Xenopus tropicalis: one gene and its partners. The protein of the gene in region 1 binds, or shares a complex with, the protein of each later gene. Links are inferred from orthologs where the notes say so. Each region holds a gene or a part of one and is shown in the gene's direction. Other genes may lie near its edges. The genes, in order: nckap1, wasf2 and abi1.

Region 1 (3,649 bases):
CGTTGGTTTTAAATTGTAGCTGGAAAATTATCTATTGTCGAATTTGCCTAGGTCCTCTTCAGGCTGCACTGCTGTAAATACCTACATGGTGTTGGAGTAGACTACACTTCATCCAGCATACTTTCAACTTGCTTAAAGGTTGCTGAGCATTGAGTCCTCAACCTTTTCTAACTAGAAGTTTAAAAAAATTGTATGAAATTGCTGTTTTGTAGGATTTTAAAGGAGAACCAACATCATTGGTACATTATAGGACCCATGCACCACAACAAGATATACATCCGCATGCCAGAACAAGGTCCTGCTCCCTTGTAGCTGATGAGCTTTGTAAATTCTGCTCTCTGCCATCTAGGTGCTTATTGCAGAACATGAGCTCTGGAAGCCATACTGGTCCTGGCTTTCATTGCCCATGCTACTCTTCTGCAGTGAGCACTTTGGAGCCAGAGACTGGAAATTAAATGGCTAGACATGGTGGCGATTAAACTCTCTGGAATAATGATATAGGTTTAGTGTTAGCCCTTTAACAAGGTCTTGTAGTTGGCCTTAGGACAAGTCACAGACTTATAACTGGTGTTTTCCTCTTTCTGTCAGCCTGGATAAATTGCACACTGCACTTTCAGAGCTCTGTTTCTCTATCAACTATGCACCAAATATGGTTGTATGGGAACACACATTTACCCCAAGAGAGTATTTGACGTCGCACTTGGAAATCCGCTTTACCAAGTAAGTGTCTGAGCTTCTAGATGTACAGAATTTTTTTTCTTGCTTATAGTAGCCAACAGATAACATTTATCTTTATGAATAATCTTAGGACCAGAAGAGAGAGATTTTATAATATTATAATAAAGCAATGCACTCCAAAAAAATTTTTTTTTTTCAGTAGCCCAGGTGCTACCTCAGTATGTAATAGAAAACATGACAGGAGCAGTCAAGGGACTGTCAAAAAAAAATAAATAAACTGTTCATATAGTGTTGGGCAATACAAATTTTGGTTTTAGAGACTGGAGTATTAATTCCAGGGGCATCTTTTTGTCTCATGGCAGGAGCAACCCTAACTGTACTCTGGTATGTAGCCCTTGCCACAGACACAAAGGCTCATAGATATTGGCATGGCCCATACGGGTCCCATTATGGTAGCGTGGCTTTGTGTTTGCAACCCAAATGCACTAACCTTGAATATGCTCATTTGAAGAACAGGGTGATGTGCTGGTTATAGGTTTAAGCACATCAAGCCAGTAAATGGGGAATTTACTTGACAGTCTGTATTGGCGACAATGAATTATAAAATAAATACAGTGCAGGAGTTTCCTACTATGTAGTAGAAGTCCATTTTTGCTCACAGCTTTCTATATAGTAACATTTTGTTCTGTTGTCAGCCTTTGCATTCTTACTCAGTATGTGCTGTTCTGTCTTTCTTTGCCACAGGTCTATTGTTGGCATGACCATGTACAATCAAGTCACTCAAGAGATTGCTAAACCTTCTGAGTTGTTAACAAGTGTAAGAGCCTATATGACTGTACTCCAATCAATAGAAAACTACGTGCAGATTGATATCACAAGGGTATTCAACAATGTTCTACTTCAGCAAACACAACATTTAGACAGCCATGGAGAGCCAACAATCACCAGTTTATACACTAATTGGTAAGCTTTCAGCATAAGAGTTTCTTATCCAGATATTTCCTTAGAGTTGCTTGCCTTCCTTGCTGGTTTCAGACATGGAATTCCTGCTATATGGATAAAGAAAACTGGCACTAAGAAACTGCTAGTTTAAAGGATCATACCAAAGGACATCAGCAATGAGATGTGCCAGTGCTTTTTGTTTATCCATGTAGCTCATTCCTTAATGAAGCAAGTAAATAAGATCTGGTCACGACAGAGTTTTAGTGTGACCCTAGTGATATCTATAATATCTTTTAAATGAAACATTGTTTGCACCAGGACAACAGCAGCAGACTAAACAGTTGTATTATTATTTGATGAACTTGATTGAGGAAATATTTGGGGAAATGAGTCAGAAGAAAGTAAATGTAGGACTGGTCAGTCTGGGGATGACTTTGATGTATTTGGCTAGCTTGTATATATTGCAGTATATGGACAAACAATCCCTGTTGCACTCACAGGAATTTTTCACACACCTGGTGTCCCTGACGAAAAGTTCCAATCACCTCTTGTCTTTGGTGTTTAATGCATGTAATACTAAAGTTTGAAGTGGTAAGCTTGTGTTGCATTGAGTAACATTCACAGATGAATAAGTAGCCGTTTGACATATGTGAAAAAACTGTTACATGTTGTGTATGTCAGTCAGCTAGGCGAAACAGCTTTCCATTTGTATCTGAAAGTGTTTAGATTATTAACTTGCGATTTATTCCTTCAAGGTATTTGGAAACACTACTGAGGCAAGTAAGCAATGGACATATAGCATATTTCCCAGCAATGAAAGCTTTTGTAAACCTGCCAACTGAGAATGAGCTGACGTTTAATGCAGAAGAGTATTCCGACATCTCTGGTGAGCCCAACAGAATTTTTCACTGTGTAGGCATTGATCTTATCATTTGTACTGCAGCCACGCTTTTGGCCATGACTTGGAAACCCTGGCTTTGGTGGACATAGAGGTCAAAATGCCATGTCATTTACAATGCCAAACATTTCACCATATGCCATTAAATTGTCTTGTGGCAAAACATCAAATTAGTGAGCCTTACTTTCCATTGAAGTCTTAAGGTCACATTCTTCCAAGGCATCTGGGTACAGCCTTAATGATAAACCTTATGCATTTATCACTATGAATGAAGGCTAGCCCTGCCTATGTATTTCGGTGTGTATTTAAACAACATTTGAAACATAAATATGCAGAATCAAATATTTATTTCTAAATGATAATCAGGGGTCTTGGATTTTTTTTTTAAAATGCATCCATAACAATACTGATCTATCTTCATTTCACAGAAATGAGGGCATTGTCTGAGCTGCTGGGACCATATGGCATGAAGTTTCTCAGTGAAAGCCTCATGTGGCATATTTCCTCTCAGGTGGCTGAGCTGAAGGTAATATATAATTTTGATTTTATGTTGTATAGTAATTTTAAACGTGGGTACATACGTTTATATACATATGTATACCATATACACAGGCTCCACCCTAGGCCACTATACATAGTATTACTTATGAAGGCCATGTGTTTACCCTGCTGAGCTGGTTTGTGATTGGGAAAGGGTGGATATGAGGAAGTTAGAGATTGAAAGTAAGCTAGAATAGAAAAGAGGGTGGTGAGGAGAATTAGAGAGGGAGAGATACACAGGTATAGGAAGTGAAATATTTAGAAATTAGAGGTGTAACTCCTGTCGCACCTCTAATGTTGCAGATAAGCAATGAACTTTTTTGATTTTCTTTACTTGATGCAAAATATGTATTTTAATATCTTATGTATTTTAATATCTTAACTTACAGTTGGCTTTGTTATTCAGTTTCATATTTTGCCTTATCTTTATACATATTTTTATTTTATTTTCCATCTCCCCTTTTGTAATGCAAACTGCCTGGTTGCTAGGTAATTGAGGCCCTGGTAACCGTATAATGCTAATCATATAACATAATTATAGACCCCTTGTTGCACTGAAAAGGCAGAAAGACTGAAAAGGCAGACAATTAA
Region 2 (4,368 bases), on another chromosome or scaffold:
AATTTCTTCCCACAACAATGCCCCCTTACACATCTTCTTCCCCTGTGCACATCCACACTGCCTCATTCTTCCACCATCATCTATGGGTATATTCACTAAAGGTCAATATGAACTAACCCATGCATTATCACCTGAACTAGGAGGTAATATCTCATCTCTTGGTTCATCAGTGCAGGTCTACATTTGTTATTCTCATGGGTATTACCTCCAGTCAGATAACAATGTGATTTTACACCTAAGGGCTTTGGCACACGGGGAGATTAGTCGCCTGCGACAAATCTCCCTGTTCGCGGGCGACTAATCTCCCCGAAATGCCATCCCACCGGCGAAAACGTAAATCGCCAGTGGGATGGCATACGCGGCGGCGCGATTTCAGTGACATCGTGGAAGTTTCCTCTCAATAATGCTCACCTGATTTAGCCAGCTAAAACCAGCAAAACAATGCCCATGTATGTCATCTATTTTTAACGATAAACTACTTTTTTATGTGTAAAATACAAATTTTTGTTTCAAAAACAGTTTATTCCAAAATGCTGGGGCTGTGGCTAATGCCTATTAATGTTAATACCTCCCAACATTAGAAAAATATAAAGAGGGAAAAAAGAAAATGGCGTGTGTAGCGCCCATTTTTGCAACCACACCCCCTAAATATCACTCCCATTTTGCTAAAAAAAGAGGTGAAATTGCCCTTTACGTTAATAAGTCTCAGTTCCCCCAAGAGACATGTTTAGCTTATTGGTTACAATTGTATCTAAGTGCAAGTGTAGCTTGTTAATTTCTGGGCTCTCTGCCAAAAGTTACTTTTTAAATTAAGTTTGAGAAGCATTGTATCTTTTTAAGCTTCAGTGCAGGAAATCAAAGGGAAAATAGGAACTTTCAAAATCAGGACAGTTGGGTGGTAATAATAATGTGTATCTACTGCAACTCAAAAAGGTGTAAAATCTGGTGACATCTCGTTTTGTTAGGTGCTCACATTATAAGCGATATTAACTTATAAAATAACGCATCTTTACACAACAGTAGAACGTTTAGAAGCACCAGTTTCTCCGAAAAAAAGACCTTGAACCTAAAAGGTACAGCCAACAAGGAAATACTTTAAGCAACTGGAAACAAGTTGGTGACCGTGCCACTACAGCTTACACTTTACAAGTTCATAACACATTCCATAAGTACCTAACTTTTCTGCGTAAAAGTTTAGTTAAAAAAAAAAAATTAGTTTATTACGGCACCGAGCACTCAGCCAATCAGTGAAATAAAGGAAGAAAAATGCAGCCTACCAAAAGCCGAGCGGAAGCACTTTCATCCAATTAAAGATAGGAGGTTAGTGAAAGGAACCAATCTGTGAGGAAGAAACTGCAGCCGAAGCCAATCTTTGCTTTGCGTGGGCGGGACTAGGTGGGGCGGTGCCCGAGTTTGCTTCTGTGATACTAGTTCCCGGTGTCAGAAGCGGAGATCCCCCGGGTACAGGTAAAAAGATTCTTACACTGGTAGAATGTATAGCAGGATGAGCACTGCAAACTTTACTTATACTCTTCTAGATATTGTGCTATATATGGTGTGGCTGAAAAAGGAAACTTGAAATGCTTGATATTTGTGAATTGCATGTAATTACCGAAAATGTAAGTTTATACGATAGTTAACACTGTAATGGTAACAGTGGACAGGAGAAATAACCTCTTTCGCGTTTCTGTAGTAAAGTGTACATGGCATTTCTACTAATGCAGGTTCTTGTAAGTATTGGGAAAGTGCCTAAACAACATAGAAGTAGTGGCCTACATAAAAGTATATAGTGCAGCTGCTGGCTGCTTTGTATGTATGTGATTCTGCTGGACCTACACCTATTTGGGCCCCAGGATATTCTTATTAAGGCCTTTTATTTTCCATCACAAAGCTGGCAGTGACATTAGAAGTTACAGAGGCCCACAGCAAAGTTATTTTAGCCTCCAACCCAAACTTTGGAAATATAGTTTTCATAAACATAGATTAAAACTACTTATCAGTCAGTGTTCCACTGGGCCTTGCATCCTGTCCCTGAAAAACTAGGCCAACTTTTCCATATGCTTTTGTATATACATTCATTTAAATGTTTCAGTGGTTTTTTGAGTTATTTGTAAATGCAATTGCTTTTGAAAGCAGTATCGGTCTGGTTGTTTATATTCTCCGCACTTTTGATTCTGAATAGAAACAAAGTAGCAGCATCAAGTCGGTCAACAGAGATGAGCTGAAGGAGAACTGGCTTCTTCTACTTAGTTTCAAGAGTCAGAACCAGAGAACTGATAGGGATTAACAAACCTGCTTTTAATAGCAAATACAAAAAAACCTAAACCTATGGAATATCTTTAATGTATAGTGAAATGTTGCTTAGAATTACATGTTATTTTATTATGCAATAAATGTTTTTTGGGTAGAAAACCCCTGTAACTTGTTTCTTATAAGGAGACCCAAATTATCCAGAAGTTAACCTTATGACCCAAGAACTGGTTTAGAACAAATTATGCACCTTAAAGGAGACATATCCTATAAAAATTATGAATGTACCAGTGAATTATACTCCTCTAGATATAGAAGGATTGTGCTTAAAAAAGTTGTGTTTCAGACTGATTTATTGAAAAATTCCACAAAAACCCCACTAGCCCCGCCCATCTGTGCCACTTCCTACTGGCTGAATTCTCTGGATGAGCAGGGGAGCCGGCAGCCCTCAGTACACTGCACTGTAGGATAGGAACCAATCAGCAGCTAGGCTGACCTGATAGGGAACTGAAGCCTGTCTTTGCTTGTGGGAGTGCAGGGCTGTGATTGGCTCTCCCCGTCCTACTGTGCTTCTGGCAGGGACCGTTAGGACACGCCCACTCTTCATTGCACACTGGACGGAGAAGTGATAGGATCTATAGGGAGCTCCAATAAAGGGGCCATTGTTACAGATAGGATTAATGTTTAGCCCAAAGGGAAACCAGCACCGTATATTATTCATAATTGCCTACAGGATAAGGGTTTTTCCCATTTATCCAATATGTCTCCTTTAAATACGTTACTGCTGAAGGAAGACTTTTTTTTTTTTTTTATTAAAGATAATATTGGTGGCCAACTCTAAATAGCATGCGCCAATATTAATGTCTATTAATGTCCATTGTTATGGATATAAAGGATTTCTAGCAGTTTCCAGGTACAAATCTCCTATCTATTTATTGAAATAGTTTATTACCACTTATTTACTAAGATAGGTTGATTACTTAATACTGGGACAACCACCATCAGTAGTCTTTATAACAGAAGTGTTTTTTTTTTTTTTTTTCTTTCATAGAGAAATTTATAAACCACGTACTTTGTGAATTCACTTGCTAGTAATTGCGATCACTTGGCATTGATCAAGGCAGTTAACTGACAAATAAGCCCAGATCATATTTGCTTGGTGTCATTGCTACATGGCATAGGGTATAGTTTTCCTGATGCAATTAAAGATATTGTCTATGTTCTCCCTAGATGCATAGGCTTCTGATCAGTAGTTTACTTCTCATCCTTGCCTGTACCCAATAGGGCAGTTGTGTTAACTACTACTCTCTATGTGTGCATGATTTGCACATATTCATAACTTTATTGTAAGAAAGGGCACATTTCAAGCTAAAGCTTTTGTTACAGGATTTGATAGATTTAGAATTTGTTCCATATGGCTGTTGTATGTGGTAGGACCTTGCAGGCCCATGTCTTGTAATATCCATATTAAAGAGGTTATTCACTTTTAAATAAACTTTTCATATGATGTAAAGAGTGATATGTTTTGCATATTGCAGTTGGTCTTCATTTTTTATTTGCAGTTTTTAATTATTTAACTTTTTGTTCAGCAGCCCTCCAGATTGGAATATCTGTTTTATAGGGTCCAATCTAACCTAGCAACCAGGCAGTGGTTTGAAAAAGAGATGGATATGAATGTAGGAGGGCCTAAATAGATAGATAAGAAATACTAAATAGCATTAACAATAAATTTGTAGCCTCACCAGGGTCAGTGATTCCATTTGAAAACTGGAAAGAGTAAGGAAGGCAAATAATTCAAAAACAATCAAAAAAAAAAATTAAGACCTACTGAAAACTTGCTAGGAATAAGCCATTCTATACATACTAAATGTAAACCACCCCTTTAAGATCAATGTGTAGTGAGGCTTTACTGATCATTTAATTATTCTGAATTTGTATTTTGGTGTCAATGTGACTGCTCTTTAATGTTACCCATTAACCAGGAAGGCTTACAGTAATAGGTCAGTAACTGTTACATCGTTTCTATTTAGTGCACAGATAGTTGGACTATTTTTTTTTTTGTTCAAGTTATTGGTTCAACCTTTGGTGAGTGTTCTATAGGCAAAATATAAGGAAACT
Region 3 (4,421 bases), on another chromosome or scaffold:
ACCCGCTGTCCCAGATTGTTCAATGAATGTCCCGCATTACGAAAATGCAGAACATTCATTAAACTATCCAGGCCAGCGGGATGCGCTGACTGCAGCCAAGCGCTCGGGCTCCGTCTAGTCCTGTGGCTCCTGCTTCTTATTCTGCTCCTCGTATGGCGGTGACAGGCCCTTTTATAAGTTTGCGCCCGTGCGTATGTGTGACGTCACACGTACGCACGGGCGCAACCTTATAAAAGGGCCTGTCGCTGCCATAGAAGGAGCCGCATAAGGAGCAGGAGCCACAAGAAGCAGCGTCTATGTGGGGCACTGTGTATGGGGGGCATTTACTATTGGAGGTACTCTCTATGGGGGCAATTGGGGGCTACTGTGTATGGGGGGCATTTTCTATTGGAGGTACTCTCTATGGGGGGCATTGTGTATGGGGGGAATTTTCTATTGGAGGTACTCTCTATGGGGGAAATTGGGGGCTACTGTGTATGGGGGGCAATGTGTATGGGGGCTACTGTCTATTGGGCCATTGGGGGCACAATTTTAACTATTTTAAAAATAGGGTGTGGAAATTGGGGCGTGGCCACAAAGTGGGCGTGGCCAAACAAATTTGCCGTGCTGCGCGCACCAACTCTTTTTGTCCCTCTTTTCATTTTTCAAATGTTGGGAGGTATGTATATATAGATATATATTTGCAGCTTAATCCAGAGTTAAAGCCAAGGTGGAGGGGGGGTTCTTTTCTCTTCTGTGATAGTTGAGTACGCAGACTGTGAAGGTGGTCTGGGGGCCGGTGCCTAGGGCAGCACCGAGCCCGGATAGAGCTGCTTTGTGGTAGCCTTTCCCAGGCCCCGTCCTGTGGTTGGGGGTGATGACATGACTGGTCAGGCTACAGGCCAATCAGGGAGAGACACCTTATTGTGACTGTGCTTTCAAGATGATTCAGATGGGCCAGAGAGGTTTATAATATTAGCAGCAAGTGTATTGCCTGTAATAATAATGGCCCAGCCCCAGCTGGTGTGCTACTGGCCCAGAGGCAACCCTAACCTTACCGCTAACCTTGCCCCCAGTACAGCCACACTAGCCCTGTGCCATTACCCCAAATGGTAACGTGAAATCAGGTCAGAACAGGGTTACCACCTGGCAGCTGCAAATGCCAATGTTATAAACATGAAAATCAATACGATTAGAGCAGAGCTGGTATTTATTGTCAGAAAAGGTGGCAACTCCCAGCCTGTAATATGCTAGGGTTGGCTCATCCTCATAACATGCGCTTGGCATTAAAACCCACATAACATTTGCGTGGGTGCATGTAACGGCATAGTACTTCCTATAACAAACTGTATGGCCCTCATAGCCACAAGCTTACTTAGTCATACTATAAAGCACAGAACCCTGTATTGCTACTACACAGCAGCCCCACTGTGAGGAGTTTCTACATATCCCAAAGTGCTTTGAGTGGATTTCCTGGTCACGGCGCCCACCCCACAGCAACTCCCAGAGTGCTCTGCGCAGGTTTCCTGGTGACAGCGGCGAGCTGAAGGGGCGAAGCGCTTTTGAGGGGAGGAGCCTGGGGTGAAAGCGAGGCTGGGAATCCCAGAATACCAGGCTTGAGCAGGCAGGCAGCCTGGCGGGTGTGGACTTAGCTGTTCTTCCCTCAGTGTAAAAGGAGGAAGCGATGCGCAGGGCTGGAAGATGGCTGAGCTACAGATGTTACTAGAGGAGGAGATCCCCGCCGGGAAGAAAGCTCTGATCGAGAGCTTCCACAACCTGACCCGGGTGGCCGACTACTGCGAGTCCAACTATATCCAGGTAAGCGGCGGGCTGGTCAGCACCCTGTATTCGGGCGTGTTTATGTCAGTGAAAGGGGAGGGGGGGCAGGAAGTGGGGCATCCTGAAACTCAAACATATCCAACTGGCGGCCTTGCTAGGGCTGCATATAGACAACAAGCGGCTGCCAGGGGCTCATGGGAGTTGTAGTTCGCTTACAGTTGCGGGGCTACAGATCGGAGCCCCCTTGGAGGGAGTACTTTCGGTATGGAGCCTGTGTCAGTGCTAGCGGCTGTGGGTGTATCCCGGTTCAGCCCATAGGGTGTTGCCCTTTTTTTTTTTGTTTGATTGTGAGTCACCTCCCAGAGATCTCCCCTGGGTGCTGTAAGGCAGGAGGGTTATGGAGCGAAGCCCTAGGCACATGTCTCTGGGGCTGCCCTGCTGCCATTAATATGGGGCTTTGTGTCTCCTGCCTGTCTAGACACAGCCGGGAAGCATTGCCTCTCCCTGGGAAGGACTTCAGGGAGCCTTTGTCTAGCAGCTCAACTCTAGGGTTCCTCTACCCAGGGGCTGCCTTTATAACAAAGCCCTTACACCTCTAGCCTTCTGGCTTTCCATTTATCATTATTCTTATAATATTCAATGGTGCCAGTGCAGGGATGGGGTTAGGCAGGGCCCTGTGCCCTGTATTGGGCAGTGTTTAAATGGCTGATGTGCACCCTTCTATTGTACAGCGCAGCAGTATATGCCGGCACTTCATGTTACTATTAATGATATAGATACACACAAGTAAGAACACAAGGGTGTTAGTGTCAGTCTGTCGCTTCTATGTGGCAGGAAGGGCTCTGTAGTAGTATTGTATTACAGGAACTTTCATTCTGTTGGTCAGCATTTATGAAGGTGATTTCAGGTACAGAATGGTCAGATACTCACCCTGCCTTATATCAGGGGAAATAAAGTGCTGCTCTGTATGCTGGAACCCTGCTGTCCAGGTGCCTGTTTTCTGTTGCCTTGAAATTAACCTTTACTATGGCATGGAGAGTTTTTATTTTATTTTTTTATTGTAACTTTTTATTTTTAGTTATTTTTACATTGCAAAAGACACACTGTAGTTGGCTTTGTGAAATCGCATACTTCAAGTACTTCGAAGTATACTTCGAGTATAGCAGTGCAAAGTGTATTTATGTTGTCCAGACAGTGATAGAAAAGAAAACAACAACAATATGAAAAACTGTATAAATGTAATAATAATCAGTTGGATGCACAGTAAGAGGGACAGAGGGGTGTGAGTGTGACAGATCGGTTCAAAAGAAGAACTTTTCAGAGTTTTTTAAGGGATCATGTTGGGCTGGGTGTAGGTAAAGCAGTCAGGAGGCCAGACCTTGTAGCTCTCACAGTGCCCAGACAGCCATATACTGAGCTATTGTATTCTGGAGAGTTGCTATCCCATATTCAGTGATCCTATTGGTACTAACTGTTTCTTCAGGTAGGGTTTATTCGCTGCAGTGATCTGTCTGATATGTTTGTTTTTATTTTTCTCTTCAATAAAATTTCAGTTACAAAAGAAAAAAAAAAATCAGGTAGGGATGGTGAATCCCAGGGTTTTCCACTTGGATTCTATTGGTAGTTGTGCAGCTGTAAGAATAGGATTAGCCAAAATGTGGCCGCTTCTGCGGGCATGGATAGTTTTGTGCCAAGACGATTTGTCATTTTTTTTTATTTCACAGTTCTCAGGCTGGGAATTGAGGCCGCTTGCTAGTTGCTTGGGCTTAATTACCATGGCAACCAGGTGACAGCTTGGAATTCCGAATGGAAAGTGGATATAGGGGGCATTATCAGACAGATAAGCAATAAAAATGTAATAGCAATAGATTTGTGTCATAATCCACATGTTAATGGGTTTTGGTGTCCCAGACTCCAGCCTTCTTGATCTGCTGCTGAGGAGAATAATAAATCAAATTAGTCTGAAATTATAATCATGTTACTTAGATTAGGTCCATGCTAAATGTTTATTTAAAGGGGAAGTTTAATGAAACACATCTTTTACTTTCAACAAAGTAAGAAATCACCCCCATAACTTTGGGATTGAGCATGTATGTTATGGGGGTTGTTTCTTCCTGAATACAAAGTGCCATTTATATTGCTATAAGCTAGGATTATATTATTACAGGTATGGGCTGTATTAATATCACACATTTATAAAGTGCTGACATTCTGCAAGGATGCAATATTACAAAAGGCACAAGAACTGTTCAGAAGCAACAAAGCTACTGTGGTGCATGTTGCAATTATTTGACATGTGAATAAATCCATCAGTTCTCTTTTTGAGCCAATGGGCTGCTGTGCCATAGAGCTGAATGTGAGGCTTTGCGTCAGACAGCATTGTGGAATGACAGCTGTGGCATAGCCTCTGCTTGATGCGAAAGCCTTTGCAGCTTTCTTGTAAAATGTATTTTTGGCTCAGGGATACAGTTGTATGCCATTCAGTATAGCTTAATGTTTGTAAAGAGGTAAGCTAGATAAGGGATCTTTCCATAACCTGGAGCATTAAAGGGGTTGTTCACCTTTTAAATTAACTTTTCGTGATGTAGAGAGTCCTATTCTGAAACAATTTGCAATTGGTTTTCATGTTTTTATTATTTTTGTTTTTGAAATATTTAGCTTTT

The links.
Region 2: nckap1 (region 1) and wasf2 share a complex: the UniProt entries of both Homo sapiens proteins name them as parts of the WAVE2 complex. The link is inferred for Xenopus tropicalis from reciprocal best matches to the Homo sapiens genes NCKAP1 and WASF2.
Region 3: nckap1 (region 1) and abi1 share a complex: the UniProt entries of both Homo sapiens proteins name them as parts of the WAVE2 complex. The link is inferred for Xenopus tropicalis from reciprocal best matches to the Homo sapiens genes NCKAP1 and ABI1.

What each region holds. Positions count from the first base shown.
Region 1 is NC_030685.2:62,024,878-62,028,526, forward strand, and holds part of nckap1 (nck-associated protein 1), read left to right. Parts: intron 1-588; coding exon 589-720; intron 721-1,422; coding exon 1,423-1,641; intron 1,642-2,375; coding exon 2,376-2,506; intron 2,507-2,946; coding exon 2,947-3,044; intron 3,045-3,649. UniProt on the Homo sapiens protein: Part of the WAVE complex that regulates lamellipodia formation. The WAVE complex regulates actin filament reorganization via its interaction with the Arp2/3 complex. Actin remodeling activity is regulated by RAC1.
Region 2 is NC_030678.2:78,053,789-78,058,156, reverse strand, and holds the start of wasf2 (wiskott-Aldrich syndrome protein family member 2), read left to right. Parts: upstream 1-1,439; 5' UTR 1,440-1,467; intron 1,468-1,470; exon of another isoform or gene 1,471-1,487; intron 1,488-4,368. UniProt on the Homo sapiens protein: Downstream effector molecule involved in the transmission of signals from tyrosine kinase receptors and small GTPases to the actin cytoskeleton. Promotes formation of actin filaments. Part of the WAVE complex that regulates lamellipodia formation.
Region 3 is NC_030682.2:24,956,223-24,960,643, forward strand, and holds the start of abi1 (abl interactor 1), read left to right. Parts: upstream 1-1,589; 5' UTR 1,590-1,680; coding exon 1,681-1,797; intron 1,798-4,421. UniProt on the Homo sapiens protein: May act in negative regulation of cell growth and transformation by interacting with nonreceptor tyrosine kinases ABL1 and/or ABL2. May play a role in regulation of EGF-induced Erk pathway activation. Involved in cytoskeletal reorganization and EGFR signaling.